Linked DNA regions of Lepisosteus oculatus. The protein of the gene in region 1 purifies or fractionates together with the protein of each later gene. This does not show direct contact. Links are inferred from orthologs where the notes say so. Each region holds a gene or a part of one and is shown on either strand. Other genes may lie near its edges.

Region 1 (15,843 bases):
TCTGTTCCCTGTGGCTTCATGCAAAACAGTGTCATGAGGTTTTCAAGATAAACCTATCACTTTTTTGAGAGTCATTCTGAAAAGGACCACAGCAAAATTCAATGTCCCTACTCGGAAACATTTGTGGTGAGCTCTGCAGCTTTTAAAACAAAGAGCAGAAACCATCTTCTGTGAATGGAAACCTTGAAAATTACCCTCTATTCTTCGTGGTCTTCAAAAGTTTTTGTTTTAATTTAAGACACAGAAACCGTATAATTTATTCAGGCTGAGCCTTATGATTATTGACTTTTTTTTTCCACGATCTTTATTTTTTAACACTGTAAATAAGACGGTTCTTTGGTTTAGTGAAGTGATAGGGATTGAGTTACCTATGAAAGGGTAGAGATCCAAAGTTTGATTTCAGGACAAATGTTAGTACAGTACTTGCAAAAAAAAACCTGTTTATTTCATTATTTTTTTTAATGTCCTTACAAAATGGCAGTGCTGTTAAAAAAAGACAAGTTTTCTGACCACATGCCAGTTATTTAACATTTTTTCACCAGCCTTGGCAAGGTGAGACACAAATTACTGCAGTGGCTGGAATGCGCTTTCTCAAAAGTGGACTTATGCAGACCCCTTCATTTCAGTTTGGAAATTCCAGTAAAAAATTAGGTTAGCCCACAAAGTGACATCTGGATTAGAGCCAGGCATGAATCCTAAACAGAAGATTTTTCGGATACTTTCTTAATTTTAAATGACACCCATCGTAATTTAGATTCCTCATCACGGGATACTCTTTCTGACAGTTTGTTTTCCCTCTTTAAATGGTACCGCATGTGGAATAAAGCTCCTTTTTCTTATCCTTTGGCAACCATGAATGTTAACACCAGTGTTTTGGAATGTACTGGAAAGTTTTACATACTATAATTAATTACTTAGTTTAAACTGCATTTTCCCTATGCTGGTAAAAGAAATGGCTTCTGTAGGAGTCTGTGACCTGGGACACTCGGCATGAAATATGAAGTAGTGCCAGTCACAAAGTTATTTTACAACCCATCTGACAAATTTTAGAGCATGAAATAGCCTAGCATTTAGTTGTTCTGGAAATTGTATTTAAAATTGTACTGTATAAGTCATTATATAAAAAAATGACAGTTTAGCAGTTAGGTAAGTGCTTCACAATTCTAGAGTCCTAAATTTGATCTTAGGTGGGGTGTTCCTTCATTGTGAGTTTTATATGTTCTCCCCTTGTTTAACTTAAAGGTGTGAGTTTTCTTCAGGTGCTCTGGTTTCCTCCCAGTGACGTGCTGTGAAGCTGATTGGCTATAGCCTGAGACTGATTGGCTATAGCTATATTTATAGCCAGCAGCCATATCACCCTGCAACTCACAAATGGCAACCCACTGAAGCTCAGAAGGTGTGAACCAGGTCAATACCTGGCTCAAAAACTAAGGTTTCTGCTGGAAGTGGTGTTATTGGGTCCAGTAGGGGGCACTCACCCTAATGCCCCAGTATAGTGACGGGGACACTATACTGTAAAAAGGTGCTGTCCTTCGGATGAGACGTAAAACCAAGATCCTGACTCGTCATTAAAAATGTCTGGTCAAAAGTGTCACAACGTGCACAAAAGTGAATAAGAAAATTAAAAAATAAAATATTCTAGCTACTTCTTCACATACATCTCTTCAAAAGATGCATTGTAAAGGTCCAGTCTCCAGGATATACTACAGTATGTAGTCAAAACACTGACATACTTTTAAATGATAAAGCAAGAAGTTACAAATAAAATGGTAAATTATATTCTGATTGACATTTTAATATTAAGCTTGAGTGAAAGTTAATAAAACATTGTTTACATCTCAAGTACAGGATAATAATTGTCAATAATAATTAATTGTGGCAAACGTTGTCTCACAAAACATTCCAAAAAATACAAAATAAAATGATAACCAACTGAGGTTATGCATATTAACATACAGTATGTGAAAATATGCATTTCTTTGTTAAGGCACACCTTTATGTGTTACATTAGGCATGTTTAATCAAGGCAGTTCAATACTTACTGATGTGAGGATCACTGTTTAACATCCCTGCTTTTTCCTTATGACATGTTTGGATTGGATTTGCATAGCGCCATCCACAAGTAAGATGAACAAATACATGGCTGGTCGACAAAATAGAGATTGTTGTGACAGTTTATTTCTCTCAATAATAAAAAAATCACACTAATACAATTCTTTACAAACAAATACCTTGGTTGAAGAAGTATAAGGATCCATGCCAACATCTGCATTTTTTGCTTTGACAGATGCTTACATACCACGAATACTGCACATTTCTACGAAATTTAGCTTTTAAATTCCAAGTCTGAAACTTGTTTCAGCAACGAAAGCTTTCATTTGAGATGACAAAGTGTTTCAAAACTGGTACAGAGCAAGTTTTGGCAGAAGCTCAATTCTTTCTGTGCAGTTCGTAGTGGCTATGCAGATTTTGTGTGAAATTCCATCCTAATGTTTGACTAACCTGTTTATAATTGAAAATCAATCCAATAAAAGCTAACACAATTAATGGTTTAAAAGTACAATTTGAGCAATTTTTAAAAAGGCCCAAGTAATTTCTTGAAATCAATATTATATGTTGTTGAATATTACATAAAACACTAGGAATTAAGGGAGTTGGTGAAATGCTTTTTGTCAGTTTGCTACAGACCGCCATCTAGTGGCAACTATAAGTGAGTGTCTAAAGCCTGGGTTCAGAAGGTGCATTTGCCAAACAAATTCACGAAAACTGTACTCAGTTTTCAGAAGATAATCGAAATATGGTATCATGGCATAATGGAAAAAAAGGAAACTGTTTAAACCCTTTGTTTAAACATTTTGGGAAAACGAATTCTGTTAAAATGACAAATTTCCATTCAAACTAAGAGTAGGAATGTGAAAGTTTATTGAAGTAAAAAAAAAACTTTTCAACAATTTAATCTCCAATCCTTTTATCAGAATTAACAGAAGGTTATGAAACAATCTTAGATAAGTTAATTATTCAGTATCCTACATGAAATGCACTTATGACTTCAGATAATTGTTATGTCAACTGTACTAAACAAAATCACCTTCCATACCATACATGGGAAAGAAATCAGGTAGATATTTGATTAAATATCCCTCAAGTTTTGGAAAAGGTTGATAAAAAAATATTTGCACTTCTTGCTCTCAATGAACATTTACATGACAAAAACACTTGATTTCTAAAATAATTCAGCATTTCTTGTCTTTTCAGATGTCTTTGACATATAGGGCCTTATTCAAACTACCTGGGCACTTCAGACCCCCTAGAAAGCAGAAAGGATTTAAGTGCCGAAGTTTTGAACAAGGTCCCCTTATGTTTTCAGATGGACGTTCATGGCGTAAGACTGAACAGACTTTCTTCAATAACTCAACCTACACAAACACTTTGACTTAATATAAGGGCGACACACAGCTTTTGCCATAAGTTATGACAAACATATAAGAAAGAGGCAAATATTTGACATTTAATTTGCAAAAAAAAACATTTGCTCTTGCAGTTGTTTTCTTGCAGTGCTCCAGCCACGTTTCCTGTAGAGCACGGCATCCCAAACACATGACTGTTGCTTTCAGCAGTCTTATCCTGTGAAATTCATGGGATAATGGGTTAAACTAAAAATAAATATAATTAGGTGTTTTATCTTCACCTTTGCACCTTTAATTCCACATGGTTGTGAGTCTGGAAGGCAACTGTAGAAAATATAAATAGCACTGATGGACCTGCTACCACCCTCTAGTTACAGAGTTGGTTTATCAATATTCTTGTGACTGGCCATCCAGTCAAAGCTGTATTAAGGAAGGGGGGGGGATTTTGTTCCTGGGGGGTGTTATTGTTTGTATATTTGTTAATTGATTGTTCTGATTGCAAAAAAAAGGTCAATCACAAAAAACAAAACTGACACGGTTTTGCTGTGGATGCATACGTTTGGTTCATAGAAGAACCATGCCTCCTTTTTTAATAAATACAAACTGCAATATTGGAAGACAGGGGGATGTAGCAGTCAGTGTGATATTGCCTCACAGCTCTGGCGGCTTGAGGCACCTTCTGTGTGGAGTCTGCATGTTTCAGTCCCATCAAGGATGCATCCTGCCTTGTGCCCGTCTGCCGAGTTAAGACTCCAGCTCAGTGCGATGCTGGAACGGACGAAACGTTCTCCAACGATGAGCGGAAGACTTAAGCTACTACCACAAAACAGCTGTGTCCCCCTCAGACCGAATGATCCCAATCAACTATCCAAAGATCCTGACCCTCCACTCTGGTCTCACGGAAGAGAGGAATTGATGAGGATGTGTGCTCGTCCCTACGGAGAAGGTGAAGTTTTGATATACGATACTGCATTGCTTTCACTCTGGGCGTGGGTGTTGGTTTTAGAAGAATCCGGAGCGATAACATGGAAAAACGATGGCGCTGGGCTGCAGCTGGCGATGACCGGACCGCAGAGAGGGTGATGTGGCACAGGGATAGGAGGCGGCGGCTGGGCTGACCCCAGCTGGACGTCAACCAAGACCTGCTGGATACGCAACCGTGCCGTTTTTTGCATTTGAGCATCTTCCATCAGCCTGAGTTCTGAGGCTATGTGTTTGCCAAAGATGTCAAAGGCATCCTCCTGGGAGGCTAGCCTTCCCTTAGCAAAATTGTCCGAGATTGTCTGTATATACGAAGCGGCTCTGGCAAAGAGAGCTGCTTCATTAGCCTTTCGTTTCCGTTTGTTTGTCCCTCTCGCAGCGACGTGACCGCCTGCTGCGCGCTTCGTTAAGCGCGGCAGAGGGTTCCCTTCTCTGCTGTCCTCCTCCGCGCCCACGTCGTTCTCATCTTCGGTCAGTTCTCCTGCGCTTACGTCCTCGACGGTCTGACGGGCACTGTTCTCGGGAGTCTGCCAAATATATGGAAACAGGGCACCTGTTCAGGCTCAGCAGGCTCAAGGGCTTGTGCAGAATGGAAATCTCGGCTTTGGGAACATGTAAACAGGCAGTTCAAGTAGGGAGCTGTGTCGGCATGCCCAGGCTGCGAAGGAACAAGTAAAGGTTTATTGCACGCTGAAAAGAGAAGAAAGGAAACACAATGTTTCGGCTGTGGGGCCTTCTTCCACACCTGAAGAAGGCTGCACAGTCGAAACATTCTGTCTCTTTTCTTTTCAGCAAGGCGTAAACCTTTACTTGTTCCAACGTAAACAGGGATGCTATCTGCATGGGTTTTCCCTCCCACAGTCCATAAACATACTGGTAGGTAACCTGACTTCTGGGAAAACTGGCCCTGGTGTGACTATGTGCGTGTCTGTGTTTGTGACTGTGACAGAGCAAGCAGAAGCTCACTTAAAAAGCCTCTTGCTTCTTGGAAGTATACCGGACACACCTGCTTGCCCGACTCATTTGCCGCCTTTGGAAAAAGGAATTCCACAGGCAGAAAAGGGATCAGCTGATCGGCCCTGTACATAACTGGATACTCCTCAGGAGCAGCAGCAGTCAGGTGTAGAGGGCAGAAGTGCTGCATTTAAGCTCATGCAATTCAGGGACTAAGAGCATGTTAGTGGCACCCACATTTCATAGTGCATTTATTAATCTCCTGTTCTTGAACATCAGCAGTGAGTCAGCAATCCTAACACCAGTTTGGGTTTGAGAAGTTAGAAAGATCTAACGAAGATGTGTAAGGGTCTTGTTATGGGTGGATGTAGTTAAGAAATATGGAGAATTTAGCAGGGTGTTTTTCTATAGTGTGTTCTATATTCTTAGATTAATTGGAAATTTTCCAGAATCTCTGTAGAGTAGTAGTCTATAGGGTTTATTGTTGGAAACTGGGCGCCTGTGGGTGAAGCATGCCAGTAGGTCTTGAAAGAAACTGGGAACTTGTATCTTCCAATGAAGGGAAGGCTGGCAGTAGAAGGGGGAGCCCAGCTGAGTGTGACAAGGGTCCCAGAATAGGGATGGGACAGATTCCTTCCAAAGGCAAGACTGGCTGTAGATTGGAGAGCATGGCTGAGTTTGCCGGGGTTCCAGGGAATTAAAGGGGAACAGCAATGCCATTTTTATATTTCGTGGGTTAGAAAGATTCAGCATTGATGACTGAATTTCAAACCACAATAAAAGTAAAATGTACACGCCAGCTTGTAAAACCCCCAACTTACACCACAAAATACGCCGACATTTCCAGGTGTGCGTAGTGCCGCGATGTAGGATTCAGAACAATGCAACAAAACGTCCGGTGACCCGATGAGGGCCTATTACATGATAAACAAGTGGGCTTCTGAATGCATCTCTTTTAACCCAATAGAAATATTGCTGTCCATTTTTAGACTGTTTTGCCAACAGGTGCTACTTACTTGTCAACTCTACATGCAGATCACTCTAGCAGTGAAATGTCTGCTGCACAACCTGTGCTCGTTCGCTTGTACATCGCAGTTCATTGGTCATTACAGAGACTAGTGAGCAGGAAGGGCCGCATCACGTCGCAATTCGCTTGTGAGTTGGCGACATCATAGCAACTTACAGTGCATTCGCAAACTCCACAATTTCATGCTTAATTTGCAATTGGTAAAATTCTTCTATAACATCAATGAATTTATTTTGTTAATTGTATTAAGTTCCCACACAGAGAACTAACACTCTTGTGCATTCTGCTTCCACTAACCTTCACCGAACACTCCAATTTACCAATAAAGTACATCTAATTGAAACACTATTTACAAATCTGTATAAATCAATGCTGTAATGGTCCTGTTGGTGGACTTATTAGCGGCTTTTCCATTCCAGCAGCCGAGCTCTACATCACTAGTGCTAATTGATCGGCTTGCTTGTTTAGACTTTTATTTCAATTGTTTCTTTGATCAGTCCTGAGTGTCCAAAATACCCAACTTGCTGGCCTCAGCTTGCTGGCCATTATTTCTGACCCAGCTAGCTGAATTACTAGCCAATCAACTGATGATGAAGAAACAAAGGTGGAAATAACACTATCAGAATGACACTGTATCAGACAGGCCCTCAAAGAGCATTTTTTTCTGCTTTAGAGGCAACACACATGTATGAGGACTGTTCAGAGATCTAGACATTTTTACAGGGTACTAAATACAAACTGCATATATATCCCAGAACAAAAAGCAAATTTAGAAATGTTCCTCAAACAGAAACCTGGAATCAATTAGGCTGCAATTAATACCTTGGCAGCAGTGAAAACCAGCACGCACTGGAGTTCCTGGGTTAGGAAACACTGGTGCACTGCATGAAACGTGCTGGATTGTGGCTCTTATGGATCATGGTTTGCCATTTCTGGTATTTACTACTAGTACTGGTGTTTTGGAATTCAGCTTGTGCTTTTGAAAGTGCTGGGATCTAACACTAATTTCCACTCATTTCTGTTGTGATTTCCCAACCTATTAAGAAAAAATCAGTGCAAACACTACTGTATATCTGTAATCAAGAAGGGTAGAGAAAAGAAACATTTCCAAAAGATTTCAGTAAACTTTCAGCCTCAGAACTAAAGCATTAAATTACACCTACTTCCCAATCCTAATTCCTGGACTAGAAAAATGCAGAAAAGCATTGCCCTTAGATGTTTTTTTAAAAAGTGGAGAATTACTTTACTGTGACTTACATTCTGAAGGAAAAGCTGGTAGGAGAGAAAAGAGATGGGCATCTGGGTTCAGTGGAAAGGGTGTATTTGCCCAGTGCTGGCATGTGCAGGCTGCTGTTCCTATTTTGCACTTACCTTTAAATTGGGTTTCGCAGCCCGTGGGTTGGATGCTATTAAACCATCCAGAAATTTCAATAGTGGAAGCAAATACCACTTAGAGAGAAAGGCTTCGCCACACCCGTTCTGAGCAGTGCTTGCCTTTCGTTTCTCCCGGGCATACTGAGTTTTCAGATTTTTTATTTTTTTGAGTACCTCTTCTCCTGGAAAATAATAGATAATTGTTAAATCTTGTCTTTTTTTTATGCTTACTTTTAAGCAACTGGACAACCGTGATCTGGAACCCAGGAAACAAAATTTGAGGGAACATAATGTAATTAATGTAACTGCACGTTCCATTTTCCTATATCCTTAGGTAAAAACAGTTTGTACAGGTTATTTAACGCAAACATAGCTACGTATATCTATATTCCAAGACTGCCTGAAAGCCTCTCACAATTTTGGCGAATGACAAAACAAGACAACGGAACATCTCTTGTTGAATGTGTTCGTCGGGAAAGTACTGAACAGTACTTCCAGTTAAAATGGGATTTCCTCTTCAACCGTCGTAAATTCTGAATTAAGTTATATGGCGCCACCTTTGGACTAGGTACAAGGTTTTTTTTTACACTTACCAGTGGTACCCAATTGCTGGGCAATTTCCTCGGAATCGTGTTTTCTACACCATCTGTCGTGATATTCACGGACTTTGGGGTTGTACAGAGAGGGCTTTGCTTCCCAAAGGTCACAGAGCTCCTCCAGTTTCTTACGCGTCCAGAAATCTTTCCACTCCATGGCAACAATTCTATATTGTGATTCTGTATTCGAAAAAAAGGTTCGGCTTCTAACCCTGATCAGGGATGTGCAGCCTATCGGGCCACCTCTTTTATTATCAGATGGATTCGGGGCTGCAGCGTTTCACGTCTGCACGGTCTTTGTTGCGCAACTTGTTTCTGTGTTGCACAACAAATGTTTTCCGGTTTGTAGTGACCTTTTGTTTCCTCTCAGTGGACATCAGAAACCCCTTTTGACAAAAAGAAAACCCAACCCCGCTAAAAAAAATAAATAAAAATCTTCACAGCCGTGTTTTTGTTTTATTGCACGTCAAAACCTTTTTTTCCCGATACTCTAGCAATGGATAGAACACGCCCTGTCGACTGTAAACAGAGAATCCATTAAAAATTCACACAAGTAGACAACTCTCCACTTAAACTCTGAGCGTTAAGGAATGGGTGGGCTTTCTGTTGGTGAATAAGGGGCGACTATATCTGCTACTATTGGCCATTTAAGCAGCAGTACATTTTCATGCGATGCGATTGGTTAGAGATGAAGGATCTGTGTGCCTATTGGCGCTTATTCGTCTCCCGGTCCTCCTCAGCGGGCCGTCTGTAATTGGCCAGGCGCTTTGCCTTCTCTCTTGTGATTGGCCAGGCGGCCAGAGCGCCCTCCAAGGTTAGAGCCTCCCCTTCCGGTGTTGTTGCAGAGACGGATGGAGAAGCTTGAACCTGTTTAAGCACGGCTATAGAAATGAGTTTAGACTTTTAGGTATTTGTTTTCAGTACACGAATAGCTGTAGAAAGAGAATTCCGCGACGTCGTCGGGTAGATGTCTAAATTATTTAGCGAAGTGGATATTCTGTTTTGGAATTTGACTTAAGTGTATCATTTTCATAGAAGAAGGAAAATTTGGGAAAATCTGTACGGTAAGGGACTCTTTTCATTTTTGTCCGCAAATGACTTTTCTAGTGCATTATAGCAGTATCTTAGCATCTATTTTAATTTAGCGTGTTTGAAAATACAGGTCGGAGAAAAGCGGGATGCATGATGTTTCCTACGATGTCTACTTGGTCAAATTGCTATTTTTTCGGCTGTTGTCCACGCGTCATTTTTTTCCGCATATTATCCTAGAAAGCCGAGCATCTCCGATTTTTTTTTCTAGGTTCATGACACGTACGGGAGGAAAACAAAAGAATATGTGCGCGGATGATTCTGTAATTACTTGTTTTGGGTTTGCTTAAGGACGTTTGCGATGCAGATATGACCCCACAGGAAGCGAATCACGTTTATCCCGATACCGGAGTGAATTAAAGTGGTGTGTTGTTGGTGGCTAACTGGTCTGGTACTGCTCTTTCTCCTAAGAGTGTAGACCGTACATAACTCGTATTGCCTTCACCATATCGTGAATGCGTTGGTCCTCGGAGACCACTTTCTAGTATCATGAAGGGTATGATGATCTCTGTATGATTGTAAGCATTTAGAATAACTGCATAACGTCATCCAAGCGAAAACAAAGCACTTGCGCGTAGCCAGTAAGCCTTACAATTCCCCTAAAAATGCATGCCCGGTATTGAGGAATCGTTTAATACCTCGATTTTCTTAAACAACATTTCGTTGATCATACGAATAAGTAAATATAGCTTTTCAAAATGCAACTGTGATCATCTTACCTAGAAGCAGCGACGCTTTGGATATTTAATCGAAGTTCATAAACCGATGGTTTATCAACTGTTAATTTCGGTAATCGCGTGAATGAATGAAAATCCAGCCTTATTTCAACGGTGGGAAGTGCCGATAACGTCATTCATGGAGCAGGCGATTGAAGTAAAGGAGTCGCACCTTGATATAATAGACTATTTCGAGTCCAGTGATATGTGGGGTTTTTTTGTCTCGTTTTTCATTGCAGTCCTCGTGGGAGTCGTATCAATTCTCGATGAACGTTTAAGATCTTGTATAACGTATAAGATATGGTCTTGGTTTCTCAGAATTTGAGAATTCTAACGTTGTTAAAGCAAATAGGATTCCTCCATCGAAGGATGTCTGTTTGCGATTTTGGCAGTGGGGAAAATCTCATTTAACACCCACCAAGAGATGATCCCAGCCGGCTACGGAGAAAAGTCCATTCTTTTCATCTTTTTTTTTTCATCTCCTATCCAGTTGTTTCGATTGAAAGTAAGACTCTTCTCCGCATTTACAGGACCTTCGTCAAAAGATGAGCTCCCAGCAGTTTCCAAGGGCAGGAGTTCCAGCCTCTAGCCTGGGACAAGCACAGATGACAGGGGGAAACTCCAGCCTGGCTCCAGGAAACCAGACTGGCACAGGTAAAAAAAAAAAAGAAAGCTTGAAATAATTAAGCCTACTGTAAGGTTCAGTGAATCTGCGTAGAGAGGAATCTTTGAGAAGCGCTTTGAGTAATTTTTAATAAGCGCTTTGAGAAGCCACCTTTAAAGGCGCTATATAAAATAAAGTTTATTATTATAATCTTGTGGAGCAGATTTTTTGTGAGTGTCTTGTAACCAAAGCCATCCTGCACTAATAAGTCATAGAAGGACCCAAGTGTCTCGTCTAGCTCTCAGACCTGTGACGTGGAAAAGGGCCGCAGGGCCGTCGTCGTTTTCTCACCCTCCGAGCTGCGCGTTTGCTTCGCAGGGGGCGGCGAGGAAGGCTGCCGGGAGCCGGAGCACACTCCACGCGACCACCCGCCCAGCGGCGGGGGGGCCCTGGCCTTCCGCGACGAGAAGCAGGAGACGGTGGTGGTCAGGCCCTACCCGCAGGTCCAGCCCCACGGGCAGCCCCTGACTCTGCCTCAGCACCTCCCGCTGCCGGCCGGCCCTCCGGCTACCGTCTCGGCGCCGCCGCCGCACCTCGCCCAGGCCTTGCCGCTGTCTTTCACCGAGGCGTCCATGAAGGTAGGGCACGGCGAGCTCATGGCGTCGAATCGGCCGATAGACTCCGCCGCCGGAGGTGTGGCATGGGTTTCTTTTACCTCTAGGACCATAGCCATTTTTTCATTTTTTTGTAGTTGTTCTGAGGTTTAATCCAGTTGTTAATTTTTAATAGTTACATTTTTTTAACGTAACCCAATGAATGAAGACCCCGCAAAATTTCATTGACTTGCAGTTCTCCTTAATTCTAAATCCTTGTCCCTCCCTGAGCTGTATCTTTACTGAGCGGCTTTAATACAGTTGAACGTATAAATTGTGCTATTGATCTTTTCTTGTACATCATTTAAAACAGAATGGTGCCAAATGTATTGATTTATATTCCTGACTTTCCTCTATGCCTCCGGGTGTTCTTAGTTTTGAGTGCCATGTGCATAAAAGTAATAGAGGAATTGTGTGCTTGAGTGTGGAAATCAAGCAGACACATCACTAAGATCACCATACGATGTTAAATGAAGTCAGGATTTAAAAAAAAGCTTTTCTTTTCATGCCCCCCCAATTTGGGTTTCTTTATGCAGACTTAAAATCCTAAGATGGGAGAGTAGGTATTTGGCTCAACCAATTTGGTTGGTTTCTAGTTGGTAAGAGTTTGAAGAACATTTTTTAAGCCTTTCAGCCTTGTTAGTCTTGACTTCTTAGAACTATTCACTCAAATTACAAGTCAGCGGTGCCTTGGTATAGAGTTTCTGTCAATCGGAGGAGTGGAGCTTCTCTTGTGGACAATAGTGCTAGCTCGCTTGTGCCCTGCAAAACAAAAATGTTTTTCTGTGGGTCAGGCAAGCAAAGGGAGGCACCATTTGCAAGCTAACTTGCCTGGCTAAGCCAGTGAGGCTCAGTTATGGATACAAATAGCCAATGGCATGGCATTGGCACTCACCAGTGCTGTCTGGACTATAGGACTCATTCTTGCTTTCTGTTCTGGACAGGAGCCTTAGGTGGTTGAGCTGCTTGGGGAGGCCCTTGATCCTCGGCATGTGGCGTGTGATCTCTGCTCCAGCATCTTTCTTGATATGTTCTTTGTGCTTTTTCAGTCTGCCCTGAAGCCAGCTATGCCTAGCCGCCCCATTGCCCCAGCACCAGCTTCTAGCCAGGGTCACCTGACTGTTCCAGCCAAGGTTCCCGGTCATGTCACAGTTACTATGGAAAGCAGCATGCCTCAGACTTCAGCTATCCCCGTGGCAACCATCAGTGGGCAGCAGGTGAGAGGATAGCACCTTTCCGTCTTCTCTCAAGGGCCTTAAGGTTGCTGTGCTTCACTGGGACGTTACACCAGTTTCAAGTATTTTGGTGTTTGCATCATTTGCCGGACCTTTTGCACGTCTGCATTTTTTTTTATCATGTCGCAGGCCTTTTGAAATTTCTGTTTGAGATGCGCGAATGCGTGAGCTAAGTCCTTTGCGGATGTTTCTCCCTCTCTCCCCTCTTAGGGCCACTCCGGTAACCTGCATCCGTTAATGGCAGCTAATGTGCAGATCATCCGTGGCAGCACGCCGGCACTCCAGTTAGCGTCCCCTGCGGCCCCACCTCATACCTTTACTTCCCACTTACCCAGAGGTCAGCCTGTCTGCTTTTTAAAAAGGGGAACCTGTTAATCTCCTGGCAGTTTAAAGGTTGAGTGTATCTGTGTTTATTGAAAAGGCACATCGCATGGTTGGATTTAAAACAGTCAGGCACTTTAGATGCTTCTCTGTAAAATGAAAGTATCCCTTCCAATTAATGGATGTAATTATAGCACATCGTAGTTCACCTTTTAAGGTGATGATTGCATTAATTATTGTCTTACCTGGATAGCAGTTGAAAATGTCTGATGAATGAGTTCATAGCCCTTGGTTTGTAAGAGAATATAAGTGTTTATAGGAGTCAGGAGGCCGTCTTACATGATTGGTTATGAGCTATTTGATATGGATATTGTAATGTATTTTGAGCCGCCTTTACTGTGGAGGCTTTCTGCTTACTCTTTCTCTTCCATAACAGTTTAGGATAGTACAGCACCTAACAAAATAGTCTGTACATTATAGCATTTGATGAATTGGGTGTCGTATTTTAATAAGGAGCCGGGGGTATATTGGTTCTTGACGTTAAACAGGAGCAGCAGCAGCCGCTGTGATGTCCAGCTCGAAAGTGACTACGGTTCTGCGTCCTGCCTCTGGTCCGAGCGCCGGGGCGGTCCAGCCCACTGTGCAGCACATCATCCACCAGCCCATCCAGGTACAGAGCTTCTCTGCCGTGACTGGAACACAAGGTGTAAGGTCTCTGTATCTTGATTAGTGGTGTCTTTCTACCATTAACGGAATAACTGTTCACTCTTCACAGATTAACTCATTGGAGTGTTATAGATGCCTTATTCTACACACAATGTGTAGATGTTATGTTTCTATTTATTGAATTTGAAAAGCTGAATTTTATTTTAGCTGATTTTCACATACTCTAGCCTGTATTTATAGCATTTCTGTTTTGCTTGAAAGTAATCAAGTTTTTATAGATAAATATTTCTCCTTAACTCATTGACTGTTGCCGGATGTTGCATTAGCAAAAACGTTTAATGCAGTCGTTGGGAGGTCTTGCATGTTACGTGGCTAATGCTTAAAAAATCGGAACCCATTAAGCTTTTCTAGACTAAGATCTTCCCCCCTCTCTTTCAGTCTCGCCCCCCTGCCACCACCTCCACAGCTGTGCTTCCTACTGTTGTGGCTCCAGTCTCTGCGACCCGGGCCCAGTCCCCAGTCATCACCACTGCGGCCACACACACGGCTGAGATGATGCACGGGTGGGGACATCAGCAGCTCTGTCTGGCCAGTTTTGCATTTCAAGAATTTAGGAGAAAGTTATTTCTGTTTGATTGTTAACTTGTTTTAATATCGCATACCAATGCTGGAATACCATTGAGGTTTGGTGATCTAGTTACCTACTTGAGCCTTGTAAAGGGACCATCACAGCCGTTCAAGACGATGGTACATGCATGTGTACCAGGGAGGCCATGACATGATCCCTGTTGGCCACCATCGCATGGCCAGGGTATTGCATTAATAGAAGGCTTCGTCACCTTGATCCATCTTGGGAGTCGTTAGCCAGAGCTGTTGATCCAAGAGAGCCGTACCAATGTGTGAAGGCATGCAGCGTATTCTGTAAATCTGTCCCAAGGGTGCTGATATTTTCTGATCACTTGGCTTAGCTCTCCCTTTCCTTATCTGATTTGTAGCCGCCCTGCTCTTACCATTCACCAGTCTCCTGCCACCATTAGTATCCAGCGGCAGCCCCAGTCTCGAGACAGTGCCACGCGCATCACTCTGCCCTCCAATCCGGCCATCGGTACCCAGAAGCCGCAGCTGCACACCATGACTCAGCAGGTATCAGAAATAAGTGGTATCTGGATGCTTTATTGGTACATAGGCCTATTGTGGGCTTACTAGGATCCGTTCAAGTGTCCATTATAAAGTGGATAATCTTTAATCAGCATTTCACTGTTATTTCTGCTTCTTTCAGAAACCTCTTTATAGCAACGTGCCTCCTGTTGCTGCAGCTACAGTAGCCCCAATCCTGGCCACGAACACAGTGGCATCGCCAACCACAACTGGTAGGTTGCAGCAATAACTTCAAGAGCCCCAAACTGCTCTCTGGAGAGACTGTAATATTGCAGATCTCTCTAGAGTAATAGAATGATGTGTTAGTGAATATTTGAGAATTAAGCATAGGTATTTCTCAAACAGGATATGATTACTATTGCAACTCTTAGGACTTAGATTAGCATTTTCTGTATCTAGATTCTTCTGAAAACATTACTAAAATAAGGATTCTGTTGTGTATTAAAGAAAATTAGTCTTTTGAAAGTAATGAAAGCAATTGCTGCATCTTAATTACAAATGTCTCGCTATCCAGTGCGCTGAGTGAGTAGATCGTGTAAGCCGATCTATACCAGAAAATAGTGTCTCATTCTAGGAAGCAGGGACAGAGGCAAGTCTTGAGAATGAAACAAAAGCATCAAGGGCATTTTCCTATTATGGTATGAAATACAATAATGTGAAAATTGGTATTATTATATAAACTAAAGGGAATAATATAAAGATCATCGAGATGTTTTACATCCTAAACAACTTCCTGACGTATTGAGCTTTATGAATTTAGGGGTATTGTTCCTTTTGTTTATGTCCTTAACAATATCTTATGTGTTATTGGCGATCAGGGTGAATATCAATATGGTTTTATTCCACCAAGACATGGTGGATAAATGCAAGGGTATTGTTTAATTAAGGAGCTGCTTATAATATTGGAGCTTTTGATCTTGTTCATCTCCTGTCTCAGGATCCGTGGGCCATACCCAAACAACTACCAGTACAATAGTTACCATGACGATGCCCTCTCACTCATCGCATGCCACTGCAGTGACCACCTCCACAATCCCTGTTGGTAAGAATGTTTACTCCTTC
Region 2 (15,731 bases), on another chromosome or scaffold:
AGAATCTTGTATTCACAGCTGCATTTTAACCAGAAAATCCAAAGCAGATCAGATGCCGTAATTAAGTTCTTTACATTGCAGCCCACACCCATTGAGGTCAACACTCGAAGAATGCAGCTGAAGACTACAACTTTCTGCTGATCCGTGTTATTGGAGCGATTTTGTTACAATACCATCCGCAAAAAGCTAACAGAAATTTATGTTTGCACATCAATATGCAACCACTAAAAACATTTCTTTTTCTAGGCAGCCATTTCTACAATGTTTTAGACCCTGCCTTTTACCCGATTGCTACACCGGAAGCGTTTGAACAAGGGATGTTTTGTAAATTTAAAAGTTTTGATATTTTCATAAAGATTGTTACAAAATTGCGATACTAGTCAGATGAAAACCAAAAGTTCTTAAGATGGTATTTCAAGACTCGCGTGCCTATATTCCTGTCAGTCCTCCGCAAAGCCATGTGTACACTTCAGCTTGTTAAAGTACCCAGAGAGGACAAAATGGCATAACCCGAAAGTATTAAACTGACCAAAACAGCATACTTTAGAGAACGTTTAAAAAATATACTGAATTAATAATACATTAAATTACATGTGGAGAGGTTTTCAAAAGATATTAAAAATCATCATTTGTATTCCTGTATGTAGGTGTAAATTATAATTTTCAGAATTTTGACCCAAAGAAAATGCAACCTTAGCAAGGTCATACTGGGTGTGTATACTATCCAGGGTTGTGAGTTAATTTCAGTTCACTGTAAAATGTCATTAATGTCATTTGGCAAATAAATGCGTCATTTTTAAATATAGGCTATTGTGCACATTCATTTAAGAAATTTAAATTTTGCACTCCCTGTTTTGAGTTTCCTGCATTGAAACATGGACAAACACAGCTTTGCAGAAATAAAGAGTTTAAGGTCTGGATAACTTCTTTTAAATGAACACAATATTGTTTAAAAAAATCAGCTGTGAAACAAAAGTTCACAATCTGTTTAAAAAACATCACAGTGAAGACTGTGCCAGCAGGTTTTCAACTTTGTCTAAAGATCCATGGTGTTACAGAATATCTGTGCAAGTTAGTAACTCTACTATAGGAAATTAATAGGCAGGCTAATTTAAACTGTTTTCTCTTCCTACTGCTCACATGAAGCTAACAGCAGGACCACATCTTCTCCATACTCAGTTTTTACGTTTTTTCTCCTGACACACCTCTGCTGTTGGGCTGATGAGTAATTCTCAAAACAGCTGGATCACAGGCAGAATGTCAGACTACTTTGCTCAGCAACCTTTCTATGGTAACCCACATGATGCTTGGTTTTAGATTTCACATTACTGTAACTTTTCTTTTAATTTACCATTTTGTAAGGCTTTATGAACACTGCCTAAACTGGTGACACACATTTATAAATTTCTCTGTAATAAAGATCACCAATATACAGCATACTGACTGTAGATGTTAATTTCTTTACAAAATCATCAAAACATCTTTCAAGTAAGCAATATGCATTTTAACAGTAAGAAAGAAAAGGCAAAATAATATTCTTGTAGACATTTAAGAGGGTATTCTTATTGCAATTATGTCATTCCTAATGTACTGAACACCCTATCACTTCATTGCTTTTGCAATTAACTGCAATGTTAAAGAGAAAGCCGACATAAATGAAGGTGTATAGGGATGGTCAAATGTGAAAATGTTACACAATCCCCACTTTGAAACTCTTAGATAGCATTCATAGATAACACAATGCTATAAACGACACTGATCAAAGATCAACTAAAGACTTGTCAGAGAAATATTTCTAATACTCCGCGACTCTAAATAAAGAAACACCATGCTGAGACGAAGGGGTTTCCTGCTCATATGTGCACATGCCTTTTAATTTTAGCAAACCCTCATGTAGTACATACAGTAACACAAATCGGTCACTACAACAAAATGAGAACTAACAGTCTACAAATGTAGATGCCAAATCAGCAAATGCCCGATTTAGCATCTGCAAAACTGGGGTACAACATAAAAGAAACGTTTGTTTTTAATGCCCCCGATACTGAAATTTGGGTGGGACAGTTCCTTTTAGGAGATGGTTTAATTCAGTTGTGGAGGCTCAAATAGACTATTCTCAGGTATACAGATTAAAAAAAAACCCAATATTAAACCAAATCCTGCACAGCATAAGGTTAACAGGTTAAAGAACACGTGGACAGAGTAGCCACAAATATAAGTGGTATTCTGCATCCACCACTATACAGCAGGTCACCTAAAATTTGAGAAAATAATCCCCCAGCACCCCCCATTCACAATTGTACTGTACATTTCAGATGCCATTTCTCCAAAATATTCTTTTCCATTCTCTTTTTCAAAAGGTCGTTATTTACGAACGGCAGAATACATTCCTAAAAGAAAACGACACATTTTGTCTACCCTGAAGGGCTGTAAAATGTTTTTTTTTTCCCCAGACACGTTGGGGAGAAAAGTGGAACTGGGGAGAAAAGTGGAACGTCACTCTGTTTGAAGAGAAATCCTTTGTAAATCATCTACGATTCTTCTCTTAGCACTCTGAAAAAAGTCTGTTCCCAGCGCTGAGAATCCTTCTCCTGGAGATTTGAAACTTCATTCACACCAAGATTATACAAAGCCCTTTACAGAGCAGTTTCTGTGCAGTGATTAAGTCTGTTGCCAAGCTTTATAGCTCTGCTCTGTTCTATGGCCTGTCTGACTTGGCAGAAGCTGTTTTGCAGTGGCTGGAGACTGGGCTAGAACTAAAACGGTAACTAGCCAGGCACTGCTTCCTAACAAAAGAGTTGCTGCCGTTAGTCATTATTCAACTCACCTACTCGATCTGGTGTGCCAAATAAACTACATGAATTAACCAGTGGCCTCTTTCTGAGATTCTATTAAAGGTGCAATATCCCATGCTATAGGATTTATAAAATGTTTACTTATTCAAGGTTTTTCAACATTGGGGCACACGCTGAGAATCTTAGTTTAGGCTACACACAATACTTAAAAAGAGCTACCTTTAAGAAAAACGAACATCTCTGTTTCCGCGTATCGGCAATACATCCATTTTCTCTCACTGCTCTTACATTTCCTGTCCTGCAACACAGAACCCGGTAAAACTAATCTACATGTATTTGTTGCTTCTGAGCCTGGTAAAAGTAATCTATATGTATCCGTGGGTATCAGAGGAAAACTTAGCTCTACCTTAAAGGAAACCACGTGTAACAGAATTACAGACATTGGACATTTATGGTATTTGTTTTATCTATGTTTTTTTTACAAAAATTAAATCTCATACTGTATGCATGGGAGGAGGACAACAGAGTTGTGGGGAAATTTCAGGTACTTCAATTTCATACTGCTACTGTACGCAGGTGCTCCAGTCCACCCAGCTGTATTTCCAGGGCTAATCCCTGCAGTGGACTGGAGTGCTGTAAAAGGGGGACAGGGAGTCACGTGCTCTCTCGTCTGCTTAACGCCAAGGAAACCAGGATAAGCTGCAGCCCAATGATCCGCTGTGGCTCGGTTGTGGACAAGATCTACTGCATCTATGGCACATTCGTGGATACTGGACAGCCTAGTCTGATTCTACTGCACATCTGACAACACAACATTTTCACATAATCGCTTTTGGCGTTGCTTAGCAGAGAGCCCATGAACCGACTGCGAAAAGAGCTGAACTGCCTGTTCACCTAATCGCCCTTCAAAAACACAACAGAATCTAAGACCGATTAAAAATGAAGTCTAAATCATAAAACTAACTTTTAATTGTCATTCCGGGCTTTAAAACTGAAGCCTCTCTGTTTATTCAATCTGGGTTTAATCAATATGCACTCAATCTCCTATGTAGGAATCCATATTAAAAAAAAACTTCCAAGGAGAAAAAAAACTGTCACAGTAAGATCTCAAGGCTGTAACATTAGCACATTATAGTAAAAGTACTATTTTTACTTGAATAATTTAATAAGGTACATATCTAGGATAGTTAAATAACAGCATTATAAGTTACACAGAATGAGATTAAAAGTACAATAGGTTACCATTTAACTTCCAATTTATGACTGTTCAAGGAGCAATGTCCCTTAATAACCACACATTAGCCACAGATTCACTGACTGATAAAAGAAATTACTCTGCATTAGGAACATCACTGATGGAAAAAGACAACCCCTTTAGACAATGCATTTCGGATATGGGCCTCCGTAGAAAAAAGCAGGTTAAATCGTCATGTTATGCTTACAATTTACTTTGTACCGTATGTTTTGTTTAAATTCTGAACTAAGATACAAAATAATAACGGAATAATTTCCGTTTCCACGGGCAAATGAAATAGTAGCAATTTAACAATTGTAAGCCATTTCAAGTAAGTCCTTATAAAGACTGAGTGCTTAAATATTGCTGCTATGCTGTCATGAATACTGTACTCCTAAAGAGACCGTGCATCTGTGAAAACAGAATAGCTCGTTCCTGTGCAAAGCAGACATGTTTTGAAAATACCGTACTAGGTCATACAAACATTGCCAATATTCAACATGTTGTCTGGTAACATTGTTGCTCCATGGACAGACAAATTACCCAGCACGTTGCTGGAACATGAAAACAATTTATGGTATACAGTTTAAAGAACATTTCCCCCCCCTTAAGAACAGTCATTCTAAGAACCAAGAAGCCAAAGAGCTGAAAAAACAGTCTCTTCCCTATTTTCTTACGCGATATCACTTCCTTATGCCTCTACAATTCTTTAAAAACAGAGCTTTGAGGAGAGGTGTACTCACTGCTGAAAATGTCAACACATACCACCCTGAAGCACAACATTAAACGTGCTTTTCATTTTTTTCGTGCTAAACCTTCTTTTCATTACAGCAAATATAATTGCTGGTTTGAACGTTAAAGATAATTTATTTCGAGCTGTAGCAGGATCGATGTATCACTACAAGTCCTATTTTTTTATAAACGCGTCATTCACATTTAATTGTCTAGAGATAGTGCTGTTATGAATCCTATAGGGATACTGATGCTATATGAACCACTCTGTACCGGTACTCAAAACGAGTGTAACAAAAACCGACAATAAACAGCAACATCGTCTCAAACAACGCAAAATCGCGTTTAGGGCTTGAACTACTGCGAATCAAATAAAATGAAGCGAATGTGTAATGCGCGATGCCATCTCGTTTTTGATACGGCAAGAGGATAGATCTCCGTGAAGAAATAAATAAAAGTGCGAGGTAAGGTGATGAAGTCAGTCGCCATACGTTATCTAGAACAGCACTCGCTCGTAAATAGGCGTATGCTACCGAAATCGTTCAAATACAAAATTGTGGTTTTGCGTTTAATAAATCTTATTACATTCTGAATGTTTCAAGAGACCGTCGTCTGAAGAAGTTCATCTGTGTATTATTTTGGATACTAATATCACACCTTGTTAATAATAGCGTCTTGGTCGAAAAGGTACATTTTTGCTGGGTTAGTATTAAGACCTGGGTTGAACAGACACAGGATTTTTTTTAAATAAAAAAAAATGCTAATTAGGCCTAGTTATACTGTCGAACCTAGGACGGAAAAAACAAGTACTGTACCTCTATTTATTCCTCGCTATCATCTTTAGCCACTGCGTTTCTTACAACGAGTACACCACGTTCGTCAAATTAAAAATAATCATAATCATGCAGGTTGGGTAGTAAATTACAGAGAAGTAACACAGCCTGTGCTTCACCGTCAGGTTTATCGTTCTGAATAGTACTAAGCACGTACAAAGACACGAATTTCAAAATAAGTTACATAATTACCACGGCTCGACGTTACTTCACATCAAGTGCTGTACCCAGTCGAGAGATTAGCAGCTTTAAGAAATAAAACCCGTTCACTGCTAGTTTCTTTTCAGCGTGCACGATAATAAGGAAATATGCGAGACAGGGCAGTACGCACGTATCTGTATGATTACACCGAAACCGTAACTAAATTACTTACGTGGTATACATTTAGGATGCTTTTCCTAGACTTCCCCACTTGGCCTCTTAGCCTTTTGCCGGGAGGTTCAGAAAATTAACAGAACCTTATAATAAAAAGGATATTCACATCTAAGATCCGGGCAGGTGTAGCAGTTCCTGTACTCAACCCCCTGAGTTCAAGTTCAACTCGGCGTGTAGAAGTTACACCACGTCATTGCGTTCACCACTTGCTCTTTAAAAACTTGTATTAACTCCTTTCTGCAGAAGCGAACAAACAACAACAACAAAAAACAAAAACGCGCTGCCAAATAATTTCATCTACTGACCGTCGAGCGTTAGGTCTCCTCCAGAAAAAAAATCCAACTTTGATCAAAATCATGAAGTCCGCCTTCGGGGTTTTTTTTTTTGTCAACTGGGAGTTTCGATCTCTTTTTTTTAAAAATGCAGCTTGACTTCCTGAATGAAGACTCGTCTTCGCCAGGCCCGGCAACGTCGTGACAGCAGCAATATAGTCACTATCCACAAGCGGAAATAAGAGTTAAAACAAGATTTTTTTAAAAAAAGAAGAAAATCCTCGTTTCTCCGTCGCCTCGAAAACCCAAGTCACGCAAGTCTTTCGCAGCTGTGCTGTTAAAGTGCGGTAAAGAGAGCGGCGGTACTCACTTTTGGTGTTGTCAGTCTATTTCGTCTTGCAACATGATAAATACAGATTGGGATATTTCTTCTCTATTTTCTCTCGCCCTGGACTCTGAGGTGCGGTTCTGTGTTCAGGATGCACCAATCGAGCGCAGAGCGCATCAGCGGGCGGACAAGACCTTCGCACACGAAGGAGGAATATCGGTTATCGATGATTTCTCTTGCGCAATTCTTAACCCTCGGTGCTGGAGGGCAGAAGGTTTGACCCGAATAGGACTTGCTCGACTTGCTTCGGACCCAAACGTGTAGTCTCTTTCACCTTTGAGTAGAAGGCAATTTAAAACAACAACAACAACAACAACAACAACAACTCTTCGTACTAAGGTTTCTTATCGGCCCTTCAATACTTAGCCCAAAAATGGAAATGATGCAAAAAATAAAAATAAGGAATCGCATAATTGATTTTAAAAAAATGTACTAACAGGCAGGTGATGCGGTTGGACATATTTTGTTAATTAGAAACACCACTAAAGGGGCCTTTACAGCTAATATTTAAATTGAACATTGGACAGTTCTCAGTTCTAGGTATTCCCGTGGAACGTGTTACGGGAAATTGCATTTTGTTCATCTGAAGAAACACGCGTTCAAAGGCATTTTCATACTCAAGTCAACACGACATTTTTTGTACTCAAGTTACTTATCTATACAATTTGGCCTGCCTAACACAACCCTAAAATAGCAAACGAACAGCGTGTCAAAAAATACTTGTTTGAGGAAATAATAAGGAGATATGATGAAATAATATATATATATAATATTGCTCATAAAAGTTCTGATGTGAGATATCAAACAGCTGCTTTAGGGCTCGGTCACTCGAGAGCTGTCTATCCCAATGCGTGGAAGGGATCTGAATTTAGCATTTTGACAAGGGTTCTGCATTGGGTACAGTATGTTAAGGGTAATGGTAAGGCAATGAAAACATTAAGTGACTGCTGGGCAAAATCTAACCAGATGAGACCGAAATAAGACACGTTTCAGGTCAAAGGCACCAGCCTTATAGGAAAATGCACATTGACAGAATCAGTAAATGTTCGTTACAGATCGACAAGTGTAGATATTTACCTCCAGGGTGAACAGCTGAATTTAAATTATGAAAATCGATACTGTATACATTTCCTACTCTGATTTTACTAAACTTTTTTTACTAATGGTTTTCAGACGAGGTACAAATCACGGATTACGGCTCCATCTACTGTTGACAACGAGAAAGAAATGGTACTTGGAAACAGTTTGGGCATTGCTTTTAACATTGTTGCAACATTAATAAGCAATTATGCGATATGGGGAAAAATGCACACTATGCTTTATTAGCCACAAATATATTTCATAAACGGCCTAATAATTAAAAACAGCCATGCCATAACATGGATTTAAAAATAGGATTGTATAGATAGCAAATCTTAATTCGATACATTGCTAATAAAAAGGAGCGACTCATTCTAGTAATCATGAAAACATTTTCTTATTTCTACGTTTTGCAAAATTTGAAAATGTAGTTATTCGCTGCACTGCTCTGTAACGAATAATTAAAAACTACATTTCCCATAACCCACCGTGTTCGCGCCGTATATATAAGAAGGACAGACGCGAACGATTATTGTTTTTAAATGGCATGCAAAATATACAAAGTCGAATATTTTCAAAGACAAATAACCATTTCACGCTTCGTTGTAAGAAATAAAGTAAATACCAGTTAGAGAGAGCTGAATAATGATAATTTTCAACAGAGCGCTCATTAATGAAGCTGTCTTTTACATTGCCTGGCGGAAATGGAAAGTATGCCTCATAATAAATGTAACCTCATAAGATTTATTTCAATTTTAAAAAAATATATTCTCATATTTCATTCTAAAACTTAAGATATTTTCAGAAAAAATAGTCACCGATACACGAATGTATAATTTCATAGCAGGCATAACATGGGTCTTCTCGAAAATCGAGGGGTCTTAGCCATCTCGGGTGCTGTTGTGTTTTAGAGCTGCATATGTGTATCGATATAGAAACGTTAGTAAAGATTTTTTTAATTATATTTTCTTCTGAATACATAAAATGACTTCGGCGTTGTTATCGCCAGTTGTGGATTATTACAACGACGACGAAGAATTGGACAGCGTAGATGAGGACGACGATCGGAGTTACAGAGGGAGAGATTCAGAGGAAGGTACTGACACGAACGACTGCAAAATGTGGAGTTTTACTGTTCAGTCGGGTTGTTTTCCTTGTTTTCAGTGCAGTATCATACGAGGTTTGTAGTAGATTCTGCTTGCAGGACATTTGAATGGAATTGTATTAGGAGTGTCTGCTAAAGTAGTCGAAACCTAGTGATATACCGTACTTTTAATTTGTTGTCTCCGGAAGATCAAACCGGGAAGAACGGTCGCCTTGATGCATGTGTACCTCAAGCAGATGGGGAGGGACGTACGAAATAAACAAATGTAAAGCACGTTCAGTTCATGTGCATGTTTTGTCCGGAAATACATTTTCTTGACGTTTTGCACAAAGCACTGGACGTGCGAAACATGTACCTATATTGAGCAAACAGTATCAACACAATCTCATAGGGTAATCAGGGAAGATTAAGGCAAATAAAATATAAATCATGTTATGGGTATGGAATATTTTACTTAGGTGAAGTATCCAATGTAATTTGTTGTTTAGTGAATGGAAAGGAAACTCAGAACTTCACTGCCCACAATCAGTTGATTGACAGATGACAGAGATTGAAAATGAGGATGTAATTGGTTTTGCGGTAGCGGAAGCTTTTACCGGATTGGACGGAGGCAGTGTCATTTAAAGTGCACGAACAGTTGTGTTGAAGCAGGACACGAAAAGAGAAAGCTGTACTCGTTTCGCTTACGACCTTAACGTTTCTCTCGCCTTTGAAGCCATGGCAACGTATTAAAGGACTGCGATCAGTGGGCCTGTATTTCATTTAAATCTAAGTATAGATTATCGTACAGATGTATTGGATGTAATGTAAGAAACTGCAAAAGATACCTGCTGTACTTTTAGTTTTTATTCTACCAGACTGCATAAACCTGTCCTGTAAGCGTTCAGTTTACTACGGCTGGATTCAGTTTCTGAATTGCATGCGATATGGTAAAAATAGGGCGATATGGGTGTGATAGTATAGCGAATCATTTGCTACATAACTACGCATAGAAGGCAAGTCTGGTTTGAGTTTTATCTGGAGCAAAACTAGAGACTGAGTTACTATCGAGGCTATTGTAACGTCGGGGCCCGAAATGAGGGGACATTTTAACTCGGTTACCTTTGGGAAAGTCGAGGATCGTTAATTGTCTTAAATCGTTTCTGATTGCACCAACAACTATAGCTGTAGATCTAGAAATTTCGTGCTGTAGTTTAGATTGTGGAAATATTCTGGAGTAATGTTGCATAGTGGCCGCGAGTCGATACGATGTTTCCGAATCGAGTAACAGAGAGACTAAGGTGCCTTGTGATTCTGAGGTTTACGTTAAATGGTGTGTGAGGGGAATTCTGTATTTGTGAACTGTGAAACGGTAAATGTTAAAGTGCTGCAAACGGCGTCCTCCTTGCCGCTCTCCACGAAAATGTTATGTTAAAAACTACTTTGTGTGCAAAAAAAACTGTGACAAGCAACCCATATTTCTGCAGTCTCTTAAGTGACGTCACCTTGCTGTACAGAATGTCCACTGTGCTGTAAGAGGACAGCAGCTGAATGGCTGGTAACGCGCACGTGCTTATTGCAAACGAAGGTAAATGGCATTCTTAATGTGGTGTCAAGCTGGACAGAATGCTTGCTTTGTGAAATGTGGGCTTTGTTGTGTTGCTGCAGATATGTGCAGCATCTTGAAGTATGACTTGCATATACTACACACAGTATCTATTTTGTGAGATGCAATAGAAAGCACTCCGTATTGTCAGCAGTTATTTAGTTATTTGTGTTAAAAATTAAAAAGACAAATGCCAAATGACAAAGAAAGGCAATTTGAACCTTTTTAGTAACAGTGAAACAAACGTTTAAGTTGTATTACTATCACACCAATTACTTTAAATCTGTTCATGTTTAACAAAAAAAAGGGACATTTGTAGGATGCCTGTTGTAAGGCAGGCTCCAGTCTTTTGAAGGCCAATTTTGCTAAATCAGTTTTTCTTGATATTTCAGAAATTGTGCCCAAAGCATGGGAAATCTAAAGAAAAGGGTTTTTGCAGAAAGTTTTGAACGGTTTATGCAATTCTGACAAGGCCATGACTGTATTAAACTTAACTTCTTTATTGAAGTTGGTAAAAATTAAAATTCTGACTGAAGGACATTGTATCAAACCATTTTGCCCAGAGATATACTCCTGTTGTTAAATTTAATTTTAAAATATAAATGTTATTTTTCATACAACATTTATAAATTAAAGTACATGAATAATACTATATGTTAATGGTGGGCAGTGTCCACCAGTACAGGGTGTTTTAGAGGTCTGACATGTCAACCTTTGAGTCTTTTTAAACAGACAGATGACACTTCATAGGAGGTAGTATTTAACTCATCAATAACATGCTAATTGCAAAACAAGATTTTCCACATTGCCTTTTATTGAAGTGCATTTATTGATTTCATTAGAGACTAATTATTGATTTTGTAAAATGCAATTTCTTTAAAAAAGCTGGCATTTAGAAATGGAAAATCTTAAGTAAGCTAAATGCTGATTAACACAAGAGGTGATATGGATCAAACTGCTTATACTGAAGGGAATTCAAATCCTCTACACAAGGAATACTGTCATCTGTTTCGTAGGACAGCTGACAATTTGTAATGCTTCTCATGTTTTGCCTTCAGGACTCCTCTGTACAAAATTAATCTCCTTTACAAATGTCAACCATCAAAAGAAGCTTAGCATTCTGTTTATGCATGTCATTTTTTAGAAAATTAAAGTATGTTGGGCATTGATTAAATGTTTTTAGCATCTTTTTGATCCCTCCTGACTAGTCATGATGGACTCAATTGGCTTTCTTGCATAAGCACTCAATAAAGTCATTAGTGAGAGAGTGGACTGGGCAGAGGTGTTCATGTCATTTAACATGTCAAATATGAGAACCTAGTGAATCTCATGGAGATCAGTATTGCCCTGTTTACCGAGAGCACAATATCTTTCATGCCAAATCGTCTTGCATGGACTCACCAGCAGGGCAGCCAGGCTTTTTGTAGTGATGAATCAAAGTGTTATATGAACTATTCCTGATGGAGTCTGCAAGTGTGGTGCAGAGGAGTAGAACAAGATGCTAATTGTCGCATAATAACAGACCCATAGGTGTAGAGGCCCAGGAGTGATAGCCTGGCAAGGGTGTCTAGTTGCTACAATCCTCCACTTTTTTGATGGTGAGTTGACAGTATATTGCTGAAGTCCTGGGATGTTATTCGCTGCCCTTCTTGCAAGCTCATCCTGACCCGGCAGCATTCCAGGCTTTTTCACAGCCCACGTCTTCATGCACCCCGTGTAAGGAAGGCTTTCTTGTATGATGAGAATGTGACGGTTGTGCTGCTGATGGGCTGCCTGGCCAACATGAACCCCATTGAACTTTTGTGTGCAAAGCTGGACCAACATGTGGCATATAGGAATCAGAGACCAGTGAACAAGAGCCATGCTTGTCTAGGTTTTATTAGTAGAATTGGACAGAGTCGTACAAGACTGTACGTGCAACATGGTGCAGAGTCACAGATGTACAACTACCAATGCTTTTCCATGGTGGCTACATAGGGTAGTAGCCTTTGACCTTCACTGCTGACCAGGCCTGATGATGACAAATATTAATCAGCATCATGAATTCACCTATGTTGTGTCAGTTCAAGAAAACAAAATAAACCTGAGACTGAATGTTTGTTTTTTTTTGTTCATTTTTTTCAGACACAGAAGATGCCAGTGAAACAGATCTGGCGAAGCAGGATGATGATGACTACGTAGAAATTAAAGAACAGTGAGTGTTACAGCAGAACATTTTTCAGAACATCTGGAGCTCCTGGGCTTTATGTTATGGATTGGAAGACAACACATTTATTTTAAGATGACGAATGTCTTTAGACAAGACAATAACAGAAACTGTAGATTCTTAGAGGTCAGGCTTTACATAGGCAAACAGAAATTATTACTGCCCTCCAGTGTCAGTCATTAGTTATACCATGTAACCACTTTTTCTTTGTTTTTGGTATTATGTAAAATAGTATAATCTTTCTTAAACTTGGGTTCTTCAAGATCAGTCTCGTTTATATTTCAGTGAAATAAAATAACAGTTTTTTAAGGTGTTGCGGCCTTGTATTACTTTGCATTCACAGCACAGTTTGCTGTAATGATAGAATTAAAATAACAGTGTTTCTTTTCAAGAATCCGCATCTTTTATCACTTTCAGGAGACTTTCTCCCTCTCGCCTTACTTGCATTTCTGTCTTATAGAATGTACCAGGACAAATTGGCCTCCTTAAAACGACAGCTGCAACAACTACAAGAAGGTAGGAGATCTTTCCCTTTCACAGAATTGGGCAGTCTTCCTCTATTCATTTTCCTCACTATAAGGAAATGTCTCCGTGGCAGATGAAAATGGATGAGAATAATCTGAGGTGGCAGTATTGCATCTGTTTTTTATTTCTGTTCGATGCTTTCAGATTTATTGCAAATTCAAAACAAAGTATTTGAGTGAAGCAGCATTTTCTTCTGTGTCTCTATAAAACAAAATCCGAAAACAGGACACGAGATTGCTCAGATTTGGCTGTGTTTTGGGAAGGGTATCTTCAACTCAGCTATTTTGAGGGGAAAATGTCCCCTTGTTCTGCTGTTTTTTTTTTTGCTTAAATACAGCTGCTCACTACATTTACCTGTGTGGGAACAAGTAATAGGTTTATTCCATGCTGAAAAGAGTAGAATGGAAACAAAATGTTTCTTCTTGTCAATAAAACGTTGTGTTTCCATTCTTCTAAAAATAAACCTATTACCTGTTACTTTGAAACCTACAAATGCTGATGCAGCTACCCACCTGAACAACTGTACATTTACCTTTGTAGCAGAGGTAGATTCTGCTGGTTAGTTCTACTGCTGCTAGCAAGATGGCTGCCTCTGCATTTTGTTTCTGGTGTCAGGGGTCTTTTCTTGATGTCTTGTGTATGGAGGTGTTCTTTTCCTTGGGTTCACTGGGCTAAGGAAGGGTTTGGCCGAGGAAGGGGGTACAGCAGCAAACCCCATGAATGCCTCGTTGACCCCACGCCTTAATCCTGCTGTGTGAGAATTACTGGGGTCTTCTGGAGTTGGGCTGGGAGAGAGTGGCCATCAGGAAAGAGATGAGACTGAGAGATAGGAGAGCATATGTGTTATTACATGTGGATTATGTTTATTATCTTCTTATTTATTGTTGTCGTCTTCTTATTTATTATTGTCATCCTGTAAAGCGCTTTGAGAAGCCACCTTTAAAGGCACTATATAAAATAAAGTTTATTATTATTATTATTATTATTATTATTTTGCTCTTCCCAAAAAATATGGAAACAGGCTGCCTGTAGGCAACAATCGGCATAGCATATCTAACACCCTGAGAGAAAGCCATCAGTAAGAAACAAGTGTCAAGTAGGAATTGATTGTAACCATCTGTGGACTGCAAAACAGTCTTTCAGTTGTCGGCAAAGACAAGAAATCACTTTTGTGGAAGAAACTAACATTCTTTTTTATATTAAAAAGGTGGGTAAATAGTGTTTTTCATGTAGTTGAATAATTGACATATTGTTTATATTTTGCTTTACCTGAAAGTGGTTTGATGGTGGAAAAACATTTTTTTTTCCTGTTCTCATCTGGGTCTCCAGTGAAAATGTTTGAGGAACCCAGCTAAGTAACAGACTGGAAAGGACTGTGTCACACAGTGCCTGAACCGATGCTTTTTAAGTGACTGATAATTTCTTCTTTACTACTTGAACCCTTTGGGTAATTTGCTGTTAAATCACCTTGGAATTCTTAAGAAAAGCATATGTGTTATACACACAGGTACTCTGCAAGAATATCAGAAAAGAATGAAAAAACTTGACCAGCAATATAAAGAGAGACTCCGAAATGCAGGTGATGTATTCTCCATGATTTGTAAACCATATTGAATGCCTATAATCAGATGGTTGTAATCCTGATTATCAGAATAAAACTAGATCCTTTAAAATATGTCACATCTATACATTTCATCCATCTTTCATAAATAATTTTTGATGATCATAACCTGTTGTAATACAGTGTTTAGTTATGTTATAGCATAACATTGAGGATAACTTTTGAAATACTGTGCTTGTATTCTGTATGATTTCATTATTTTGGCAGTGGTTATGTGAAACAGATTTCTTACAGCGCTCTGTTTTCCTTTCAGATCTTTTCCTGCAGCTTGAGGTAATTTTAATGTTATATCCATTTGTTTCCCAAAATGATCAGTGTTCGTGTTCATTGCTGTCAAAGTGAGGACAAGATTACACTGATGTAATCTTGATGAGAACATTACTCGCACATTGTGGGGACAAAACCATTAATGGTGACAATTATGTTTTTTTTTTGTAACAGATCATCCTTACCCTTTTTGCTTACTGTGTTTTCCTTCTATTTTTCTTCATATTTTTATGTTATTGTCTTTGGCTGACGTGCAGTGCTTTTTCTGTCACCAGAGCTGTCCTGTGTAATACTTGGACCTTTATAGATCAGTTTTATTTTAAAATTCCGCACCTCTGCAGACAGGTGACGAAATACGCTTTGGACCACATGGATGTCTGTGTGCCCTTGTCATGTTTTTTTGGGGGGGGCTGGCAGATAATTTAAAGATTCCGTGTTTTGGGTTTTCTTTTTGTTACAGACGGAGCAGGTAGAAAGGAACTACATCAAAGAAAAGAAAGCCGCAGTGAAGGAATTTGATGATAAGAAGGTCGAGCTGAAGGAAAACCTAATAGCAGAGCTGGAGGAGAAGAAAAAGATGATAGAGAATGAGAAATTAACAATGGAACTGACAGGCGGTGTGTAGAAAAAATTAATCAGATAGCAAATCGCACTTATAAAAGGATGAAAAGACGTCTCAAATAGCTGTACAAGAACTTTTTGGCTGACAACTA

The links.
Region 2: the proteins of sap130a (region 1) and suds3 purify together in Homo sapiens (affinity purification with western blotting; 3 studies listed by BioGRID, with this or other methods). This does not show direct contact. The link is inferred for Lepisosteus oculatus from reciprocal best matches to the Homo sapiens genes SAP130 and SUDS3.

Annotation. Positions count from the first base shown.
Region 1 is NC_090708.1:10,115,315-10,131,157, forward strand, and holds the start of sap130a (histone deacetylase complex subunit SAP130a), read left to right. Parts: upstream 1-9,177; 5' UTR 9,178-9,403; intron 9,404-10,674; 5' UTR 10,675-10,689; coding exon 10,690-10,798; intron 10,799-11,126; coding exon 11,127-11,386; intron 11,387-12,450; coding exon 12,451-12,618; intron 12,619-12,846; coding exon 12,847-12,973; intron 12,974-13,505; coding exon 13,506-13,627; intron 13,628-14,061; coding exon 14,062-14,186; intron 14,187-14,618; coding exon 14,619-14,766; intron 14,767-14,902; coding exon 14,903-14,993; intron 14,994-15,718; coding exon 15,719-15,823; intron 15,824-15,843. Other genes in the region: uncharacterized protein, read right to left, coding at 4,343-4,915, 7,741-7,925, 8,337-8,496. UniProt on the Homo sapiens protein: Acts as a transcriptional repressor. May function in the assembly and/or enzymatic activity of the mSin3A corepressor complex or in mediating interactions between the complex and other regulatory complexes.
Region 2 is NC_090717.1:4,406,695-4,422,425, reverse strand, and holds the start of suds3 (sin3 histone deacetylase corepressor complex component SDS3), read left to right. Parts: upstream 1-8,575; 5' UTR 8,576-8,693; coding exon 8,694-8,805; intron 8,806-9,444; exon of another isoform or gene 9,445-10,344; coding exon of another isoform or gene 10,345-10,381; intron 10,382-12,523; coding exon 12,524-12,593; intron 12,594-13,065; coding exon 13,066-13,121; intron 13,122-14,637; coding exon 14,638-14,709; intron 14,710-15,004; coding exon 15,005-15,024; intron 15,025-15,478; coding exon 15,479-15,635; intron 15,636-15,731.